3 linked regions of the Notamacropus eugenii genome follow. The protein of the gene in region 1 purifies or fractionates together with the protein of each later gene. This does not show direct contact. Links are inferred from orthologs where the notes say so. Each region holds a gene or a part of one and is shown in the gene's direction. Other genes may lie near its edges.

Evidence for each region.
Region 2: the proteins of STK26 (region 1) and CTTNBP2NL purify together in Homo sapiens (affinity purification with mass spectrometry; 4 studies listed by BioGRID and IntAct, with this or other methods). This does not show direct contact. The link is inferred for Notamacropus eugenii from reciprocal best matches to the Homo sapiens genes STK26 and CTTNBP2NL.
Region 3: the proteins of STK26 (region 1) and SIKE1 purify together in Homo sapiens (affinity purification with mass spectrometry; 4 studies listed by BioGRID and IntAct, with this or other methods). This does not show direct contact. The link is inferred for Notamacropus eugenii from reciprocal best matches to the Homo sapiens genes STK26 and SIKE1.

What each region holds. Positions count from the first base shown.
Region 1 is NC_092879.1:53,710,399-53,717,543, forward strand, and holds the start of STK26 (serine/threonine-protein kinase 26), read left to right. Parts: upstream 1-4,111; 5' UTR 4,112-4,188; coding exon 4,189-4,230; intron 4,231-7,145. UniProt on the Homo sapiens protein: Serine/threonine-protein kinase that acts as a mediator of cell growth. Modulates apoptosis. In association with STK24 negatively regulates Golgi reorientation in polarized cell migration upon RHO activation.
Region 2 is NC_092873.1:291,455,673-291,463,152, forward strand, and holds the start of CTTNBP2NL (CTTNBP2 N-terminal-like protein), read left to right. Parts: upstream 1-4,452; 5' UTR 4,453-4,536; intron 4,537-4,544; exon of another isoform or gene 4,545-4,674; intron 4,675-7,480. UniProt on the Homo sapiens protein: Regulates lamellipodial actin dynamics in a CTTN-dependent manner. Associates with core striatin-interacting phosphatase and kinase (STRIPAK) complex to form CTTNBP2NL-STRIPAK complexes.
Region 3 is NC_092873.1:294,108,182-294,116,178, reverse strand, and holds the start of SIKE1 (suppressor of IKBKE 1), read left to right. Parts: upstream 1-4,969; 5' UTR 4,970-5,155; coding exon 5,156-5,314; intron 5,315-5,429; coding exon 5,430-5,535; intron 5,536-6,201; coding exon 6,202-6,344; intron 6,345-7,161; coding exon 7,162-7,275; intron 7,276-7,997.

The sequences.
Region 1 (7,145 bases):
CAAAAGGAAATGGCAAAGCATTCTAGGATCTTTGCTGCCAAGAAAACCTCAAACGGGATCACGAAGAGTCATATATGACTCAGCAACATCAACATCTCTCACTCCAGACACAGTGCTTTTCCCCAGTGTACTAGATGTTGCTCTCTTTCCCTTTCCCTTACTATCCAATTAGAATGATTCATATCAAATGTAGTAGATTGGCTACAAGGCCTGGGCTTCAGAAATCTGAGTCCAAGCGCCAACTCTGCCACTTATGATGTTACCTTTCCAAGCCTCAGTTTCTTCATCTGTTCTTCTGTGCAATATGAATAGTGGGCTCTGTATACTTTGACACTATGAAATATTTCCCCTCTGAAATGTTCAATGATGCAACGAAAACATACTTGATGATTTTTGCAGGTTAACTTCCAGTTTGTTCCAAAATTTCCTTGACAAAACCCCTCCTCCTTTTCTCTTTGGGTTATTTGATGTCTTCAGACCTCCTGGGCCAGTATTTATGGACTGCTGTGGCTACACAAGTTTAGGAAATTAGGTAATGGGAAGCTATTATAAATTCTGAAGAGTGTGGTCTTTTAGAAAGAATGTATTTTAGGATGATTAATCTCAGATAAGGATGAATTAGAGGTGGGAGAGAACAGAGTCAGGGAGACCAGCTCAGTGACTATTAAAAGTAATTGAAGTGTGATGTGACTAGGGGTGGTTGAAGTAGGAACATTCATATCAAAAAGTATGGTCAGTCCAAGTCAGTTAGGTAAATAAATGTGAAGTCCAGCATCACAAGGTTAATTTAATACAGAGTATTATCCTTTATTAAATACATATAGAAGCTAAAGGAAGCTAGATTTGCTCTCAAAGGGCCTTAGTTAGAATCCTAACTCTACCTATCTCTCTACCTACGTGACCTTACCTTGGATAAGGGAGGGAGAGTTAGTGTATGACATTTTGTTTGCAGATGATTGTGCACTCAATGCAGCCTCTGAGGTTGAGATACAACAAAGTATGGATTGATTCTCTGATGCTTCTGCTTCAGCCAGCACCACACCATCCATATGTGGAACCATCAGCAAATGGAGAAATTTTGAATGCTGGGGATAAATTCATTTACCTTGGCAGTATACATTCCAGGCATGTGCACATTGATCATAAGGTTGACACACTCATTGCCAGAGCTAGCTCAGTGTTTGAGCAGCTCCGAAGGAAAGCATGAGAGATAAGAGGTATTCGGCTGTCTACCAGACTGAAGGTCTACGGAGCCACTGGGCTGACCTCATTATTGTATGCCTATGAAATCCAGACAGTCTACCAGCACCATGTCAGGAAATGGAATGGCTTCCATTCAAATTGTCTTAGGAGGATTTGAAGATCACCTGGCAAGATAAAGTACCAGACACTGAGGTTCTCTCTCAAGCTGAACTGTTAAGCATTCAAACTGTACTGCAGAAAAAACTCAGCTCTGATGGGCTGGCCAAACATTTGCGTAAAAGATTATTTTATGGAGAACTCACACAAGGTAAACACTCATATGGAGGTCAGAAGCAGTGATACAAAGACACTCTCAAGGTCTCTCTGAAGAACGTTGGAATCAGTAGGGAGACATGAGAGACACTGGCCCAGGACCACCTAGCATGGTGTGCCCACATCAAAGAAGGCACTGTGCTCTATGAGTAAAGCAGAAATGTAATAGCTCAAATGAAGCATGTGATAAACAAATTTAGAGACATCTCTACTGCAAATGCTCATATGAAATGTGGCAGAGCATTCCGAGCAGCCAGCAGTCAGACACACCCCAACATATAGTGATGGCATTTTGGTCCTCTTCAAGAATGAGAGATGACAGCCAACCACCTTGGGCAAGTGACCTGACATCTCTGGACCAGAGTTTCCTCCTTTGTCTAATAAGTAAGTTCGACTATATGCGTCATAAAGAAGGTCGCTTTCAGCTATAAATCTGTGATCAGGTAATCTGTTAGGAACTTTGATGTATCCCCCAAAACCTGAACTTCCTCTTCCTCCTGGCAGCCCTTCCATATCTTAGCAGACAGCCTTTATGAATTGCTGTAGCCAAAAACATCGAGCATAGTCAACCTTTTGTTTGATGGGCCTTTACTTAGGCTGGGCCTTCACACTTAAACTACAAGCCCTTTATTGGATTTGGCTTTAAATTTCAGGCTTGTTAGTACCTTGTTCTGCTGGAATAGTTTTTGAGAACACAGGGTCGGGTCACCTGGGAAATAAAATTTTATCCAATTGATCTTAAAAATTGCCTGTTTTCCCTCAAGTGTGAAATTGAGGTAGTAAGAGTGAGGTCTGAGCAAGGAGCTATGCTTATGTGTGTGCTACCTATGTCTGTGTGTGCCTAGTAATCTTGCCCATAGATGGTGAGGTCCTCTAGATACTACTGTTTGCTGGGGAAATTGTGCTGATTGCATCCAAATTGCCTAGCATTAGAGGTCTTTTTCAGTGAGATCCATGGTTACTCAAAAGGGCTCAGCCTAACACTTTAGAGAATATAAACCAAATGGATAAAAAATGCTTATTGTCCAGATAACATGCAGTTGGATGGCCTGTACATTAAGTCATCCATTAACACATATATCCTATACCCTTATAGGGGTTGCTGATGGACAATAACTTGAATCCAAGAGGAAAAGAGTGGGCTGAACTCCATTTGGGAAATTGAATAGTGCTTTTAAAGACTCTAAGGTACTATATGGTTAAAAAAAATTATTTTTAAAGACCCTTTTAACATATGCTAGAATAGATGCTGGTCTGCTCTAGAACCAAAGACATGCCCTGAGGGATATTACTGAGTCAAAGTATGACCAGAGAAGGTGTGAGCAATGTGGTGGGAACCAGGGCCATCTCACATGCTTCACTGGTATAGTCAGATGGCACAGAGAAAGCAAGAAAGGACCCACACCTTTTGCAGGAGGGGTAGAATCCCTGTGGTGATCCTATGGGAGGGCAAAGAACAGATTAACATAAGATGGGCAAAGGTGGATCAGTTGTGATTAGCGCTGTTGAAGGGAATATTCCATATAGTGGCCTACTGAAGGAGTGACCCTGGACGAGTCACTTGTTCTCCGAAGGGTTTAGTTTCGCTCTACTCTAAAATGAGGGGGAGCTGAACTCTGTAAGGACCCTTTCCCATGTGACATGTGATCTTAGCACCCAATCTCATGGCACTTCTTCACCCAAAAGCCCTGACGGGGCAAAAGAAGGTCACAGTGGGGAGAGTTCTTTCCCTCCAATTGGGCATTAGCAAGTGGCCTGAAAGTGGGCGAGGCTGAGTATGCTAAGCCCGGGGTTCTCGTTTGCTCTCGAGGCTCTGGCCGCTCGGGCGGCGGCAGCATCCACTCCACCTTAAGATCCTGCCTCTAGAGGTGATCTTGCCTCGCGTCGTGTCCCCTGCCCTCAGGGCGCCGGACCCTTCCGCCAGGGTTTCCCCCCTCCCCGAGGTCCAATTTCTTGGGAACCGCCAGAGTGGGGGCGCTTCTTAGAATCCCTGAAGCGCCTAGGGGCATCCCGTAGCGTCCCGTCCCGTCCCGTCCCGTCCGGTCCGGTTCCGCTCCGTTCCGTCCCGGAGGGCCAGGGCCAGGGGCAGGGCTCGCTGCTGGCCCGCCCTTCGCCCGCCCCTCGGGCCGGCCAGCCGCCGTTGGCGCCGCCTCCCAGCCTGCCAAAAGCGGCGAGGCGCCGGCGGACGGCATCACTGGAGCCCGCGCTGCCGCACCGCCCCGCACACGCAGCGCCGCGCGCCAGGCGGCCCGAGGCGAGCTCAGCCGAGGCAGCGCAGAGCGCAGCTCATCCGGACGGCGGCGGCGGCGGCGGCGGCGTCGGAAACAGCAGCGGCGGGAGCCGGAGCCGGAGCCGGAGCCGCAGCGGCGGCGGCGGCGGCGGCGGCGGCTGCGCAGGGAGCTCTCCCGCTCTCCTGTTCGCGCTCGGTCCCCGGGGCACGCGGACTCGGCCGGTGAGGAGGCTGAGGCGCCCGCAGCCGCGCAGCGCCCCTCACCTGCGCAGCCCTCCCCTCTTCTCTGTCCCGGGCCACTCACCGGCGACACGCCGCGCTCATCCGCTCCCCCAGGCCGCGGTGCCGGCGCCGGCGCCGCAGCCGCCAGGGCAGGCCCGCGAGGGAAGCCGGCCCGAGAGGACCGCGCCGCCGCTGCAGCCGCCGCCGCCGCCGCCCCCGCCATGGCGCACTCGCCGGTGGCCGTGCAAGTGCCCGGGATGCAGGTGAGGAGGCCCAGGCCGCCGGGGCGGCCCGACGCGGCCCAGGGGATCGGGGGTGTCTCTGGGGCTCCCCGCAGGGAGGCAGGGCCGGGGGTGGGAGGACGGCACGAGCGAGGGGGCGTACGACGGCAGGGGCTGGGATGCAGTGGAATGGGGGCCTCGATTCCGGGCACCTGCTCCCGCCGTGGGACGAAGGCAAGGTCGGGGGCTGCGGGCGGGAGGCTGCGGCAACCCCTCGGTGGGGGTCTGGGCCCCACGGCCCTTCCCCAGGAGTCGGGCCGGGCCGGGCCAGGGGTGGCGGAGGAGACGCTGAACTAACTGGGCTCTTCCTGTGGGTAGAAGAGGTGACTCTCTCTTTTTCCTTTCATTTTGGAGCTGCTGCTTCAACGGTGAAGTCTCATCCCCCTTCGCCACCTGGAAATCCGAGCTCCGGCCCGATTTCGGGGAGCCCTTCTCCGCCCCCACCTCCGTCCCCCACTCCCTCCCCTCCCCCATTTCCTAAGGGAAAGAGAAGTTTGTGCCCTGGGTAGCAGAGGACGCGTGTGCGGGACGAATATGTATTTGTACGTTATCATTCATCATGCACCCTCCCCTCCCCCCTTGACAAAATAATAATAACAAAAAGCAACAACCCACAAACACCTTCGCTTTCTTACAAAAGCAAAGTTGTTAAGCCTTTGGAAAGCCGTTGAGGAAGACAGTTAAGACATTTGGGACTGCATTTCAGGCTAGTTAGTGAAAACTGTCCAAGTCTGAACTAGTTTCTCTAAATAAGCATACACCTCTTCCTTAAACGCTCCCCCCCCCCCCCCCCCATTGCTCCAGAACTCTTTTCAGAGGCCAAGAACTTGAAAGCCTCAGTCCCTCCTCTTGTAACAGTAAGAAAACTTTTTAAAGTTCAGAAAAATGTGTTAGAGTAGTAGGCAGCCCACATTTCCAGAAACATTCCTGACCATGGATTTTCAGCCACCTGTAAAGTTTCCTTTAAAGTTTTATTGGGATTTGAATGTCATTTTATTTATCCTCTTTTATGCAAGTTCACAGAGATTTTTTTAAAGTCCTTCAAAAGGAAAAGTAATTTCTATTGTGTATATATCTAACTAGGTTTTAGCAGGGTTTCCTAATGACTAGGCCTTTTAGATAAATTCAGGGAGACTTCAGTGCCTAGTCTCAAGTTTTTACTCTTATTTTTGAGAAAATAACAGACTGAGCTCTCCTAAATTTAATCGTTTCACATCTTGTGAATTGCTCAGTCATTTCTTTAAAAATAAAACGATTTCTACTTTGGTTTATATAAAGCAAGGGCACCTTTTAACAATTCTGTTTTTATACCTGTGATTGTTATTACTATTCATAAAGTTTGGGAATCTCAGAAGTTCAGTAAGTGCTGAGGCATTCCGTGTTTCCAAATGGCTTTAAACTTGTCCTATAAATTAGTTAGCCACTCATTTTCAATGTTTATCCTCTTAGCTGCTTTTCCAGTACATAAGTGATTCAGATTAATGTTCCTTTTTCCTCAATTACAAATTGCACCCCTGTTTCTCCCCACAGAGATTGTAGTCTCATGACTCTTAAATGGATTTTTACCCCCAAATCAGTACTAGGAACACAAAAAAGATCACTTATCTGCCTCTTTTTCCTTAATGAAATTTTAAGTTCTCCACTCTTTCCGCCACCCCCCCCCCCAACATAGTTCTTAAGCTCTTGCTTTCCACAGTTAAGTTTGTACACTGCCCTAAAAATAAATATCTGACTGCATGAGCATAACTCTTAGGTCCAAGCTACTTTGAATATTCATTGTGTGATGTTGTAGATGAAGTACTTACATAGCAGAAGGGTTATTATTTTGTAAAATACAGTTAGGGAGATGTATGGAAAGTTTTCAGACATACAGTGCTAAAGAAACTTCAAAGTTAATCATATGTTTTAGAAATTACATTTTTAAAAAAGCAGATCAAGACAATTGCTCTTATAACTTTCTCCTTTAAAAAATTTTTAAAAACAGTTTAAGGAAGTTAGGAGCAAGAATTTTTCCAGAAAGTAAGTGCTCCTGGTTCACTGGCCCCAAACTGGACATTGAAATCGAACTACCTGTTCTATCTTTTAAGTCTGACCGACATTCCTGACTTTAAGATAAAGGAATTTGTGTCACTGGTTTAAAAAAAAAACTTTGAAGAAGACATAGAAATTGTTTCAGTTCTGATACTTCAGTTACTAAACCTCATAATACTTAGGTTGACAGGTTAAACTTTTCTTTTTCCAATGTTTATCTTGTACAAGACTGTCTGTATAGGTCCTCTTAAATTTAAATTTTTATTTGGTCTTGCAATTAGAAGCATTTTTTTCCTATGTTAAGAACCTAAAAGTATAGCACCACTTTTATTATTAAAATAATGTCAGTTTTCACTCCAACGTTGTTTGTTTAACCTGTAGTTGTTAATCTGTGCTGTTCTGTGACACCACTTTCCTCTGGTTCTTGAGGCAACGTGGCATAATGGTTATATTCTGAGAATTAAGAAGACCTTGATTTGAAAATTGCATTGAGATGTTAGCTGTATGATCCTGGTCAAATCACTAAATCTCATTGAGTCTCACTTTTTGTTAAATGGGGTTAACAATGAGGTAATGAGAGTACCTGCCGTATGGGCTTGAAGTGATGATTTAGTGAGGGAATGTATGTAAATCTTGCAAATCTTAAAGCTCTGTATAAATGGGTGCCATAGAAAAGGAGAAAAACGATGGCCTCTGCCTTCAAGGAACTCACATTTCAATTCATCTGGTCATATATAGAATACACACACATACACTGTAAATGGCAAGTCATCTCAGATGGAAAGTGCCGACAGTGGGTGGGACTGAAAGGTCTGCAGCAGGGGGCTTGGCGTTCAGGCAGAGATGACAGTGGTGAGCATTTTTGG
Region 2 (7,480 bases), on another chromosome or scaffold:
TCAGTGGAGCAAAGGTTGGGTGGAGAGGTCGATGGCAACGAGTGTGGGGAGGAAAGACTGAATCACCGGGCTGGCTCTCCTGGTGATTCAGGAATAGGCAGAAAATAGCCAGGGCTTCTCCCCATTGTCAAGGAATGTGGTACTTCCTCATTGCATTGCAGAGCAAATGGGAGGAGAAGGAAATGAAACTATTTGTGGACCTATATCTATACCAGCACCTAGCCTATACAAGGTATCCCCAAAGTCTTTTAAGTTTTAAAAACTTAAAACTGCACGAAAACTTTTGGAAAAACCTGCATTTGAACATTTCAATCATTTTCTTCCCCCTCTTTTTCCTACTATAAGAATCCTTAAGTCAGGATCCATAACATTCATTTTTATATTCCTAGCAGCCTCTAGTATAGTAACTGAGGTTCCAGTCCCCTCCCTGGACCCTCGAATCAGAATGCAAATAGCAGACTAAAGGGCAGAGAAGGGTGGTCTCTGATTCTGTCATCCTTCCCTTACCAATTGTGCTATATCCAGAAGCATCCAAGAATTAGATAATCCATGAATGAATTTGCTGTCCTTCATATACAAGGTGACACCATTAGGCCACCACAAACAAGTTGGCTGTCATACTGAATAGTTTTTTTCTGTTTAGTCCTGTTAGGTTTACACTATACTTTCTTACTCTGTCCCTCTTGTGATTATTAATATAGCGGTGAAACAGATTGGATGGTGTAATCTTCCATCATGGAATCCTGAGATTTTGACCTCCATTGTACTCATAAAAGCAATTTCACTCACGACATCTTTACTCTATCACTCAGTGTTGGTCTTCCAAGCACCAGCAGGGATTGTGCTCCAAGCAGTCCATAAAAACGGAGGAAACCCTTGGTAAGGTGTCTTGAATTATTTGAAGGGCTGATACTATAGAACGGGGATTAGATTTTGGAGTATATCTAAGGTCCTTTTGATCTACATATCCCTTATGCTTGGCCTGGGTGTGGGGGGTAGGAGAAAGAGTGATAGAAGTTTGGGAGAGACAGATTTAAAAGTATAAAAATTTATCATAAAAATAGTTGAGAGAGAAGGGATAGTACAGATCATCTTATCCAATTCTCTCATTTTAAAAGTGAAGAAAGTAAGAGTCATCCTGGATCCTCTCTCTCTCTCTTTCACACATACACACACACACACACACACACACACACACACACACACACACACACACCAATCTGTTGCCAAGGCAACATTTTTACCTTTTTTTACCTTTTGGATTTTACCTTTGCAACATCTCTCAAATTCACCCCCTTGTCTCACTGTTATTTAGCTGGGGAGGGTTCAGTCATGTCCAACTCTTTACGACCCCATTTAGGGTTTTCTTGACAAAGATACTGTGACTGATTTGTCATTTCCTTCTCCAGTTTATTTTACAGACGAAGAAACTAAGGCAAACAGGGAAAAGTGACTTGCCCAAGGTTACATAGCTAGTAAGTGTCAGAGGCTGAATTTGAATTCCTTAAAAGGAGTCTTCCTGACTCTAGGTACTCTATCCACTTCATCACCTAACCACACCTAGACTATTGAAGTTGGTTGGTTGTTGTCCTTGGTTCTCCACGAGGACCAAAATGACATTACTATGATAAACTCAAGTTACAGTGTGTCCAACTGTGGCTGATCAGACCCATACGAGCTCAGAATGCTCTACCACAGGTTGGGCACAGATAGTCCATGTGAACATTTGGGGTAGATACTCCAAATTTGCACATTCTACATTTACTTTGTGCTGTCTCAATTCTGCTTTGCTCATAGAGCACATCACCCTTTCTGATGTGGGCATGCCATGCTGAGCAGTCCTGTGCCAGTCCCATAATCAAATCTAAAGTTCTTGAGAGAGACCTTGAGAGCATCCTTGTATCACTTCTTCTGACCACCATGTGATCACCTGCCCCATGTGAGTTCTCCATAAAACAGTCGCAAATGTACATTTTGCATTCAAACAACGTGGCCAGCCCATAGGAGTTACACACTCTGAAGCATAGTTTGAATACTTGGCAGTTCAGCTCAAGCAAGGACTTCAGCATCTGATACCTTATCCTGCCAGGTGATCCTCAGAATCTTCCTAAGACAGTTCAAATGGAAATGATTCCGTTTCCTGGCATGGTACTGGTAGGCTGTCCATTTTTCCCAGGCATACAACAATGAGGTCAGCACAACAGCTCTGTAGACCTTCAGCTTGGAAGTCAGTCCAATACCTCTTCTCTCCCAAACTTTTCTTTGGAGCCTCCCAAACACTGAGTTAGTTTTGGCAATGTGTGCGTCAACCCCATTGTCAATGTGTACATCCCTGGAAAGTACACTACCAAGGTAAGTGAACTTATCCACAGCATTCAAAGCTTCTCCATTTGTATAGATGGTGTGCTGATGGCTGATAGAGCACCTGTGTTTTCTTGGTGTTAATTAGGCCACTATTGAAACAGCCCACTGGTGAATATGTCTGCTTCAAGTCTCTCCCTGCTCCAATTCATCCTCAATTCATCCACTAAAGTGGATTTCCTAAAATGCAACTCCAATCATGCCACATCCCCTACTCAATTAACTCCAATGGCTCCCTATCACCTCCAGGATCTATCTGGCATTCAAAGCCCTTTATAATCTACCCTCCTGCCCTCCCCACCCCACACAGTCTTCTTTGTCTTTCCAGTCTTCTTTGTCTTTCCAGTCTACTTGTATCTTACAATTCCTCATACTTTCCATACTCTACGTGCAGTTCTTCTGAGAGATACTCCATCTCTTATCTCTGAGCATTGTCACTTGCTGTCCCCCATCCCTGATGTGATCTCCCTTTTCACTTCTGCCTCCAGGCTTCCCTGACTTCCTTCAAGTCCTAGCTAAAATCCTACTTTGTACTGGAAGCCTTCCAAATTCCTCTTAAATCTAGTGTTTTCCCTCTATTGGTTAATTCTTGTTTATCATAGGATATGTGTGTATATGTATTACACATACACATGTGAGCATGTATATACATATATGACATGTGCATATATCTTGTTTTTGCATAGTTGTTTGCATTAGATTGAGTTCCATATTGTGGTGATTAAAAAGTTTGAGAAGCATAGTTTCTGGGTAATTTAATCATTTTATTAATAAGGTCAGCAAGTTTTTAATAAAAGGATAGTCCTTTGGCTGTCTCTCTTAGACCAAAGATGTTGTTTGACCTTTGTTCTGAAAGAGAACCAAGACATCAGAAAGATGATGCCATGACTTGCAAGTGAATTGATTTGAGAGGGAAGTCTGTGCAAAGTCACCAGCCTCACTCTCTCCTCCTCAGATATCTGGATCCATTGGCAAGATATAGATCAGGACCAGTGCAGATGGCCCCCTTGGAGCAAAAACAATCATGGCAGTGCGCTCGCAGTTCATATACCCTTCAAAGAAGAGGTGTTCAATGGGGGGCTGAGAGTGACATCATGTTACCCTTGGAGAGAGAAACTATCTCCAAACTCAGTTCACCCGCAGCTTTGGGCTATCTAGACCAAAGGATCTACTTCCACCCAAGTTTGAGTAGAACACAATGGGCTCCCCCACCTTAGATTAAATTCCAAGCAAGTGGGGTAAGATCTGACCAAGATTAATTCAATCTCATCAGTAATGTCCTTCAAGAGACGGAACTTGAAATCAGGACTTTGGAAGATGGAAGGCTCTGAATCTTCCCAAGATATTGGTTATGTCTACTTCCCCACTTACGTACATACGGGCATATGGACATATGTCCACGTTTGCATATCTATATTTGGGTTTCACATAGTTGCTTGCACGTTGTCACCCTCCTGAGCTCCTTGAGGGTAGGATTATTTTTTTGGCCTTTGTATCCCCATAGCACATGGTGGGATCCATGTCTATTGACAGCGCTAAACCTTGGGAGGTACCAAAAAAAAAAAAATCAGTCTTTGCCTTCAAGGCATTTGCATTCTATGGGACCATCCCACTGCACACTCAGTTTCCACCACCCTCCCACTGCCAACACGTGGGGTCTGGCTGCAGGCAAGGCCAAGGTCCAGACCGGAAGGGCGATCTGCTGTCCCCCTTGGCCGTTCCCAAGGCATCTCCGCTAGGGCAGCCAAGGACAAAGAAGAGTCTCGTTCTTAAAGTGAGTACCAGAAGGAGATCACAAATGAGAGTATTAGTGAGCTGGGCGATGGAATCCGAATCCTAAAGCCCAAGCCCCGCGGGGCACAACTGCAAGCCGGGAACATCATCCCGGGAAAGAACGCCAAGTCCTTCCCGCTCCGTCGAGGACCAGGCGAAGGCATGCACGCCCCCTGCCGCGGCCCGGCGAGCGGCGATGGAGCCCAGCAGGATGGGGCGCGAGAGCCGAGCCGCGCGCCAGGCTGGGAGGAGAGCTCTTCCCGCCGGAAGTGACGCGAGCTCAATCCCTGCCCGGCTCTCCCCAAACAAAAGGGATCTTGGGGCCCGGGGAGGAGCCTGAATGACATTGGAGAAGCCCCGCCTCCGCCCGGCGGGCATTGGTCAGCGAGCCGCGAGGCTGAGGTGACAATTGGTCCGGGAGGCTGTCAAGGCACGGACCCGGCGGGGGGAGGGAAGGAGGCGGAGGGGAGGCGAGGGACCGTGGATGGGAGGCGGGAGGCGGAGGTGGCGGGGAGCGGAGCCCGAAGCGCCGGGGAAGAGGTAGGAGCCACTGGGCCGGGCACTTGGGGATTGCGGGGAGACCGGGGTCTCGAGAGAAAGGTGAGGGTGGGACTGCCGGCCTCCCCCCACCCCGGTCCCTAGCACCCCATCCCCTGAGGGGGCGGGGCCCTCCTCCTTCTCTGCCCGCGCCCCCCATTCCTAGAGGAGGCGGCGCCCCAACCTTTGAGGGGATCCCCGGGCCCGCCCCAGCTCCTGTCCAGCCGCAGACCCCTTCCCCCGCTCCCCATCCACCCCCTACGGGGAGCCCTCCCCTCTGCACCCCTCTCTGGAAGAGGGCTTCCCCGCATCCCCGCCCCTCGCCCCTCTCAGCCCCGACAGTCCCCTCCCCCCAGCCCGCCACCTGCCCCAACTCGGTCCCTCCCTCCCTGTCCCCTCCCCATTTCGGTCGGTGCCCTCACACCCACCTGCGTCCGTAAATGAAAAAGACCTCCCCATCCCAATGCCAGCCCGGCAGTCGGCCCCCCGGACCTCGCTTCTCCCTCGAGCCGAAAGCCCTGGTTTTCCTCCCCTTCCAGCCCGGGGAGGAAGCCCATGTAGCTGGCCTGGGCAAAGGGAGTCTCCCGGGCTTTAGAGCTGCCCCTCCCTCCTCCCGTCCCCGCTTTGGGGGAGCCCAGGTCGGTCCTTAGGCTGCGGTCTTGTGGGGTTTGCTGCCTTTGATCTCCACCTCCCTACTCCCTCCACGAATTCCCTGGGGAATTCGAGGTTCCTCCTCCTTGTTGGGGCCTCGCCGCTGCCCAAGTTGGCTAATTGACGGACTTGACCGAGTGTGTAGAATACAAACAGGCAGCGGATAACTTAGGATCCTTCGTGGGGACGCGCTGTAGGAATGTGAATAAGGGACCCAAGGTTGGCCGGTTGCTCTGGGATACTTGGATCCCCTTGAAAGGTGTACATCTTGAAACAAAAGGCAGGAAGTGTTTCAAGAAAATCCTGGTCCAGTGGTGGGAGGGTTTATGATTAATCTGGTTTAATGGCCTTTGGTTCCTTTCTTCTCGATCCACACCCACTATTAGATGCTGCAGATCTTTTCTATAGTTGAAAATATAGTAAGGTAAACGATGTAGTTTGGTTCACCTGCAGAATCGCAGTACGTTGAACAAGGTAAACTGCATATGCCACTAAGGTAAAGGATATTCTGAGTGTACACTCCAGAAAGCATTTATTAAGCGCCTACTCTATGCCGATAACCACTGAGCTAAGCAGTTAACACATATTTCATTTGATCCTCGCAACAATCCGGGAGGGAGGTGCTACATTATTACAGTTGAGGAAAGGGAGGAGGACAGCGATGGAGTGATTTGCTTAGGTTCACTGCTAGTGTCTGCTAGAGGATTTTCTGAATTTTAGGTCTTCCGGATCAAATTCAGCACTGTGCCGCTTGCCCAACCCTTATTTCTTTCCATATTCTTAGAGATCTTGTAGTACAATCTCTTCATTTTACAGAGTGGTGCAGTGACCTCCCGCTAAAGTAAGGTAGTCTGAGAGGCAGAGACAAGACTCAATCTCAGGCCTTCTGACTACTAGTCCAGTGCTTTCCGCTCACTGTAATTTATGGTATGTGGTTAGTATTTTGGAATTTCCATTAGCATGAGTGCCATTGGACTGTCAGTGGACATCCAATAGGGTAACACTTTGCATGTGTAACAATTCATCATACATTTTAACGTTACTTCCTTAATTTTCACTTGTAAGTTACCCTTAATGTTGGTGTAGTGTTATGACAAAGTGATTACTTAGGACCAGTCACAGAGGGTGTACATTTCCCGTAGATATTATTATTGCTTTTACTTCTAAGTCAAATCAATAAGCATCATTAAATACCTATTATTTGCTAATAATAGGGCAGCTACATGGTAGGCTAGGCCTACAGTGATGAAGACTTGAGTTCAAATTTGACCTCAGATACTTACTAGCTGGGTGTTAAGTAACTGGACAAGTCACTTAAGCTTTGTCTGCCTCAGTTTCCTCTTCTGTAAAATGAGCTGAGAAAGAAAATGGCAAGCCATACCACTATCTTTGCCAAGAAAACATTAAATAAAGTCTCGAAGAGCAGGACACTACTGAACAACATGTGCTATAATAATAATAGGTAACAATTCTATGGGACCTTAAGGTTGGCAAAGCACTTTACAGATGTTATCTCATTTGACCCTCACTGCACTCTAGTGAAATAGGTGCTATTATTATCCCCATTTCCAGGTGAGGAAACAGAGGCACTAAGAGCTTAAGTGACTTGCCCCAGGTTATACAGCCAACTGTGCAAAGTGGAGGGGATACTGAGAAAGTCAATTCCAATTACAAAGTACATTTTAAACTTCCCCAGGGTAATGATTTGTGAGTTGTAGATTTGGAGCCTTCAATCCTTCTACAGAGATCTATTTAAAGATTGTTCTCAAAAATCATCAGAAAGAGCAAAAAAGATCTGAGGCTGGTTGGAAGCACTTGGAGAGTTGTTTACTATGTACATAGAGAAGTATATGGAGAGATTAATACATGGGCGCCTCAACTAGAGCTACAGAAACTCAAAGGGAATGATCAGGCTCATCAAGATGCAGAACAAAAAAAGATGACAGACATAAAGCCAAAGAAATGAATTGCCAAGGCCCATCACGCTATTGGATTATTTGGCAGAGTAAATAAAAACTGGCATTTTGTATGTCTTGGTCATCATTACAGCACCTGTTTGGTCTTGTTCATCTCAGAGAAAGACTGAGAACCTGTCACCTTGGTGTAGACCTACCAAGATAACTCTTTGATAAGATGAGGCCTATCATGATACTATAAA
Region 3 (7,997 bases), on another chromosome or scaffold:
ATTTTGGATCCATTCTATATACACATATGTATACTTGTTTGTTCTGTTGCATGAATTCTTTTAGGATCTTAACTAGCCCCTGGCAATAAAACAGCAAAGGAAACAGACATAGGAAAAACTGCAATTTATTTACTCCGAGAAAGACTCACTCCAGCAATAGATGATGAACACGTATGTTTGTTACAACTCAACTAACGATACTTATACCAGTCTATCATTCATGTAATACGTGAGACAATGTTCTGCTTATTACAGAACAGGGTTGTTCAGAACATAGAAGAAGAAGAAGTATTTGTTATAACAAAAGAAGACGTTAATCACTTATTAGAAAAGGAGGAATGTGCCCTTGTTAGCATAGCTATTCACAACAGATCAAAGGGAACCCTACATCACCTGCCAGACAAATCAAGGCTATTGGAGTCCTTCTTTGCAAAAGCAAACAAACAAAAATCCTTTTATAGTAACTAAAGTCTGACATTCAATTAAAGGAGACATTCAAGGAAGTCTAGCAATATTACACACTAAGGCAATACATGGTAAAATGGTGATTACAGATTGGAGTTAATTATGTCAGCTCCGGAAAGACCAGTTAGTTCCCCCAAAATTCACTTTTGACACTCCTGATAGAATGTAAATTGAAAGCAGTAACTTAGTCCAATTTTTGTTCAGTCATTTTTTTTTTAGCCATGCCCAACTCTTCATGACCCCATTTGGAGTTTTCTTGGCAGAGATACTGAAGTGATTTGCCATTTCCTTTACAGATGAGGAAACTGAGGCAAACGGGGTTAAGTGACTTGCCCAGTGGCACACAGCTAGTAAGTGTCTGAGGCCAGATTTGAACTTAAGAAGATGAGTTTTCCTGACTCCAGTCTCCACACTCTATCCATTGCACCATCTAGGTAGTCAGCACAGAATCTAGTACTTTTAAAAATGTTTGTTGATTGATTGATGTGTGCAGACAGAGTTAACTTCTTCTCTTCTTGACTCTTCTAGAACCCCAAACTTTTCTAGGATGATGTCAAATAAGAGTAGGGATAGAAGATAAGTTCATTTGAGTTCTGTATTTATTAGGCCAGTTTCTAGTGCTTCCCCATGGCAAAAAAAGGCTGACTTTCAGATTAACATACATACTTTTTTTCATAATAAAAAGTGGCCCTTCTATACCAATACTTTAAATGTATTTTTTAAATTTAAATGAATGTTTTACTTTGTTAAAGGTTTTGTCCACACCTATTTCTATAATGATATAGCTTTTATGGGAACAGATTTTGGACCACACATGCAATTTCATTAGTATATGGAAGACCTCATGAGGAAAATCCCTCTCTGAATTCAGATCATCATCTGGTCTGCAACCTAGAGTATAAGAGAGCTAAAGGTTAAGTGTCTTGCCCAAGGTTGCATGTCCCATCACATGTCAGAGACAAGACTTCCACTCAGGTTTTCCCGATTTTGAAGGTCTTCTTGAGTCTGAATCATGCTGCCTTTCTTTGTTTTTCAATATAATTAATATTTTTTCTTTTTCTAATTTTGAACCATCTTAGCATCCCTGGCATAAAGTCAATTGTTTCATAGTAAATAGTTTTTTGTCTATGTTGCTATCGTCTTTTGGCTGGAATTTACTTTAGTTTTAATAAATATTCATTAGTCATATTAGTCTATAGCTCTCTTTCTTTGCTTTATCCTTTATGGTTTAGGATCAGAATTTGATAAGTTTGCTTAATTTTTGAGAATAATTTATGTATCATGGACATTCTTTCTTTTTTTGTTTGATGAAATTTACCTTGGCCAAAGTGTTTCTTTATAGAAAATAGATAGGTGGGGAAAGACAGACAGACAGACAGACAGACAGAGAAAGTTTGATAGTTCCTTTATGCCTTTTTCAATTTCATTTCCTACGATTGGGTTGTTTAAGATTTCTATTTGAAGTTCAGTTAATTCAAGTATTTTATGTTTTAATAGATAATCTATTTCATTTAAAGTCTCTTGTCTTTGATAGTATATAATTGTGTGAAGTGATTCTGATTATATTTTTTTTAAATTCTGCTCTGTTATAATTTCACTTTACTTGATTTTTTTATTCTGATCATTTTATTTCCCTCCCTCTTTTTTTTGATAACTAGGAAAATAACCTTAGCTAAAGGTTTGTTGATTGTATATTTTCAATGGTGCTATTTTTAGGTTTATCATCTTTGTTTTCCACTTTCTCTTTCAATATTTACTCTTTTTTTGCTTTTTTTGTGTTTATTGTTGATTTTCTAGTTTCTAAATGCACATTGTCTTTCTCTTTCTGTCTCTATTTATCTGTCTCTCTCTCCCTTCTTCCAGAATGATGGAGAGGCAGGAAGGGGGAGCTGTTGGGCTGCATGGACAGAGGAACACTCAAGAAATGACTCTCAAAGGTGACACTTGAACATTATTTTTTACCTTATCTACTTATTTTTTTTCTCCAATTCTTCTTTCCTTCTGTTCTCTATGATTCCTTTGGACTTTCTGTCCCTCTTTTCATCACAACTCATCACCAGCAAAACATGGTCTTTCAAGCAATCACCAAAGACTCTAGAGCATGAGTGGGATATCTCTGTTTTATGGACTAAATTTGACCTTCAGCTTAATTTTGTCCGGCCTCCTGGACACAAAGAGATCATTCCACCTATACCTGGTGACATAGTGGTTGCATTCATAGTTAGTAAAAGAAATAAAAGAAGTGTTCATTCTTTCTTCCTCCTTTAGGAGGTACAAAGAAATTCCTGATCAATGTTAGGGGTTATAGAGAGACTCAGACACACCCCTTCCATTGAATGAATAAATAATTGACTTGTCAGCATGTGTGTGGTGCCTTGTTTGTTGTTTTGCCCAAGAAGATTATATGTGCCTACATGGGTCCATAAAGATGTAGTTCATAGATAATCAAGAATAGGTATCTCTAATCTCCCCTGCCCCACTCCTTAAGCTCTTCTCTAAGGAAGACTTTGAATCTTCCTCAGGGAGAAGAAACAGGAGATTAGGGCCTGAGACCCGCCACTCTGGTCTCCTCAAAGAAAGAACACTGGGATAGAACCATATTTTTCTGTTCCTCTAAATATTGTTAGTCTAAAGGGGATATATTTTAGGTTCAAGCTCCTGATTGTTCTCTTAATAGACGAGTGTTCCAAAGCTCTGTATCCAAGATTTGACTCCCTTGCCAACAAATATCAGTTCCACAAGGAGCAAATAAACCCATTTACCTGAGTCTATAACAAAAGAGAAATCAGAAAAAAATATTCACAGGAGAAAACATACCAGACAATACAGAGTAAATGAACTCTCCCAATGGGAGCGAAAAATCTCAGCTCAACTTAAAGAGTCTCAGATCTCACCCTAAGGGAAATTCCCTGAAATCCCTAGTGTATTAAGTTGAGGATAGGAACATAATAGAGAGTGCCAGCTCTGCAATATGTTGGTTGCTTTCCAGAGTCTTTCACTCGCTTCAGGGATCTGAAGGGAGTTTAGAACAAATCTGGAAGCCAGAAGACCAGGATCTTTCCCTTCTCAGACTCCCACCAATCCCTCCCCTCAAGCAGGCATGAACCACTGTGTAATCAATTTTCACTAATGAGAGGACCCTTTGAGTCACAGGTTTTTAGAATGAATAAATGAAAAAGCATTTATGTAAAATGAAAAAGCACTTACTATGTTCAAAGTTCTTTCCTAAGCTTTGGGGATAAAAATAGAAAAGGAGCTCACATTCTAAAGGGGGAAAGGACAGTACATATGGGAAGTTTCAGCTACAAGTCAAATGGAAAAGCATGGTAGGTTCTTAGGGTACAGGAACATGGCAAATGATAAGGAATCTCCTTTAGTGTCCTTTTCATTGATAAAACCATATCTGTTCCTAATTTTTTAAAGACATTTATTCACCATCATGATCGGACTATTACATTTAGCAATCAATAATATGCAAACAAAAAAAGATCTACATTAAAACCCTTTGTGGGAATACTTTCCACAGAACAGAGACTAAAATAACCTGTTATGTAATTAAGTCACAAATGCAGTCCTGCAAATAGCAGAAACAGAACTAGGGATCCAAATTCGTAGAAATTCTCAAAATGTGTGTATACACACAGATATGCTGTATAGTATCATACATTTTTGGATAACAGGAATCTAAGATGCTTTGATTTGTAATGCATGGACCCATTGGCTAGCAGCGTTTCTAAAATTATAACAGCGGTCTCCAACCTACTTTGGGTCATGGACCCCTTTGTCAGTCTGATGAAACCTATGGAGCCTTTTCTCTGAATGTTTTCAAATGCAAAAAACAAAATACATATAATTACAAAGAAAACCATTTATATTGAAATAAAAAGGTAATTTTTTTCCCATCCAACTTCAAAATCTATTCACAGACAAGTTCCATGGATCTCAAATTATGAACTCATGCTCTACAATAATAACAGTAAGCAGTAAACCTCTATGGTTTGCAAAGGGCTTTACATATACTATCCCATTTGATTCCCATAATGACCCCGTGAGGTCAGTGTTGTAGCAAAATAAAAGTAATTTGGGCAAGAATGTATACATATATATGTATACACACACACACACATATACACACATATACACGTACACATATACACACACACACATATATACACATATGGATGTATATATATATATATATATATATATATATATAGAAAGAGAAATACACATCTGGCTAAAGTAGCAAAGGCTGAATAGGGACACTACTACTATGCTTTACACCCAGTAAGGCCTTTAACAATCACAAGAAAGAATGTGAAAGCATGATATCCTTTTCGCAATGAAGAAACTGAAGCTGAGAGGGTTAAGTGACTAGTCCCGGGCGCCGGACAGAAAGCCCGCCCCCCGCCCTACGTAGTTGGCCCCGCCCCCGCTCCTGACAGCGAGGGGCGGTTCTTAGGAGACGCAGGTCAGCGCCCGGGCAGGAGCGCCGTGCGCAAGCGCAAGGCCGAGGCCCTCGGTCTGCGGAGCCAAGGGAAGACTCTCCCGAGGCTGTCGGAAGCGGCGCGGGTGTTTTTCGCTTACGGAAGTGAAGTCAGCGGCAGTGGGCGGAAGACCCGGAACCGGCGGCGGCGTAGGCATCGGTGAGTGGCGTGGCTGCGGGGCCGCCTTGGCCCGGTTCTCCGCTATGAGCTGCACGATCGAGAAGATCCTGACGGACGCCAAGACGCTTCTGGAGCGGCTGCGGGAGCACGACGCGGCCGCCGAGTCCCTGGTGGATCAGTCGGCCGCCCTGCACCGGCGGGTGGCTGCGATGAGGGAGGCGGGCGCCGCGCTGCCGGACCAGGTCAGCCCTAGGCCCGGGGGCCGGGCGGGAGGTGGGGGGTCCTCCCTGCCCGGATGGGCCGGACTCCTTCCGCTCTAGCCTGACTTGGGCGGGGGTTGGTCTGTCTGTTTACCAGTACCAGGAGGATGCCGCGGACCTGAAGGACGCGTCCAGATACAAGCCTCACATCCTGCTGTCCCAGGAGAACACGCAGATCCGAGACCTGCAGCAGGAGAACCGAGGTGAGCGCAGCAGCCTTTCTCCCCCAAATGCCACGCTTTCGAACCCACAGTTTAGGCCAGCTTATTCCCCACGCAGGCCACGAACGGGAGTACAGTGCAGCACCTCCCAACTGGTGAGTTTAATAAGCAAGTCTGTTGCTAAATAACAGTCTTCGTAGAAAATAGGAACAGTCAATAGATGATCCTTTTCAGTATTGTAGGTAATGGAGAAGTCTTAATTTAGTAAGTACTGTTCAAGGGTGTTTTTTAACCCGTTATTACGAATGTGAATATGATCTTATTGAACAAATATGAGTTGTTTCTGCGAAGGACAGTACTTTCAGATGAATTCAGTTCACTATTCTAAAGCAGTGACTTCCTACTTCTTGGTGAAATCCTTAAAATGTTATTCAACTTTACTTAAATTTAAATGTGTGTATGTGTATCTATAGGTGTATATACATACATACATGTGTATATAAACATAGATATACCATAGAGTATCATAAATTTTTGTTGAAGAGGAATCTAAAGTGCTTTGATTAGTAATGTATGGAACATTAGCTAAAATTATAGGCACCATTAGTCGGGGTAAATATGCTGTTAAGTTTTTCAGTCTCCGATGGGGTGGAGATTCTTCACTGTCTCAGATATCACTGCCAATTTATTTTACTTATTCTTTGATAGAGTTGTGGATTTCCTTGGAGGAACACCAGGATGCTTTGGAACTCATCATGAGCAAGTACAGAAAACAGATGCTACAATTAATGATTGCTAAAAAAGCAGTGGATGCTGAACCTGTCTTGAAAGCCCACCAGTCTCATTCTTTAGTAAGAAGTTTCACAATAAATATCTGTTAAATTGAATTGAATCTAGAAATTGTTTTTATAAATTTCTTGCCCTATAGAGAGCTTTCTTAAGGAGTTTAACTCAGAAAGAGAAATATAAAGGATAAGAACTGGCAGGGATAGTAGGATTTTTTTTTCCTCAAGAAAAGTTATCTTTCTTTTTATGTTTATCACTTTATTGTTAATGTTTTAATAATATCCTTGCTCTGAGGCCTGTGTTTGCTATGATTTTATACCATAAAAGAGTGGTAAATATGAAAGAGAAGAATCAATAGCGGAAATAATTGCATTCTTATGGACTGTTTATGGAGGTCAGAGCTGTGTATTTACTTTACCCTGAATGATATCAAGTGTTTGTAAGACCTTTCACTGTAGTCATTCAAAAAGCTTTTTTTTTTTTTTTTTTAAGCTCTTACAGAGTATACAGTATTTGACCAGGTGGGAAGTACTCAGTGAATCCTTAATGACTCAGGGAGGAGAGAGTGGAAGAAATACAGCTTCTATTCAAGTACTTGAGGAATTTGTCATTTAGCTGGAGAAAGCCAATACATAGGAACTTGAAGAGCATTTGCTATAGATTACAGTATAGTGTGAGACAGAGACAGACCCCTTCAAGACAAGAAGGGTTAGAAAGATATGGGCATGTAGATATGGAAAGGTCCAGCCATTGATTAGATAGGTGAGATATTGATTAACTGGGATGATGTTACTCAGTCTTCTCATAAGCATTTTACTTTTTGTTTTGTTTGTTATTCTTCCTACAGGCAGTGCAGAATTAATATACTTAATATCTTAACAGGAAATTGAAAGTCAGATTGATAGAATCTGTGAAATGGGAGAAGTGATGAGGAAAGCTGTTCAGGTGGATGACGACCAGTTTTGCAAGATTCAGGAAAAACTAGCCCAACTGGAGGTAAGAATATTGTTTTTGCTATCAGAAAAGTATATCTTTCAGTCATAGCACCTTAATGATGATGTCTCAGCAGATGACTCTCAAATCTGTGTATGCAACCCTAATCTCTCTCTTGAACTCTGGTCCTATACTGCTAACTGCCTGGTGTCCCGTAGGCATTTTAAACTCAACATGTCCAACTATCTTTCCCCAAAAATCTATTCCTCCTTCATACTACTTTGGTTTCTTTTGAGGGCACTACCATCCTTATGGGCTGTAGTCTCAGTTTTGGAGAAAATGACTTGACTTCCACGAACAAATCCAGTGACTTGTCAAGTCTTGCTGTTTCCCCCTCCTCTTCACTGTCTCCTCCCTGTCAGTTAACAAGGATTCACTGAGTGCTTCCTAAGGCCAAACACTGTAGTAACATCTCTTTCATCTGTTCTCTTTTTTTCTCCTTCCTGTTCTACCCTCGTTCAGGATTTTATATGCTCTGATAGACTATTACAGTTGCCCTCTAACTGATACCCCTACCTGCAGATACATCCTCTAATCCGTTTTCCACATACCCCTTACTCAAAACTCTCTGATGGCCCCCTGTTTCCTCTATAAAACACATTTAAAGAATGCTACAACTAGCACCCACCTACCATTCCAGTTTTATTTCATAGGATTTCTCTTACCATACTTTCTTTAGTTGTTCACTGTATTGATATTCCAACTCTTGCAAGTGCAAGTGATCC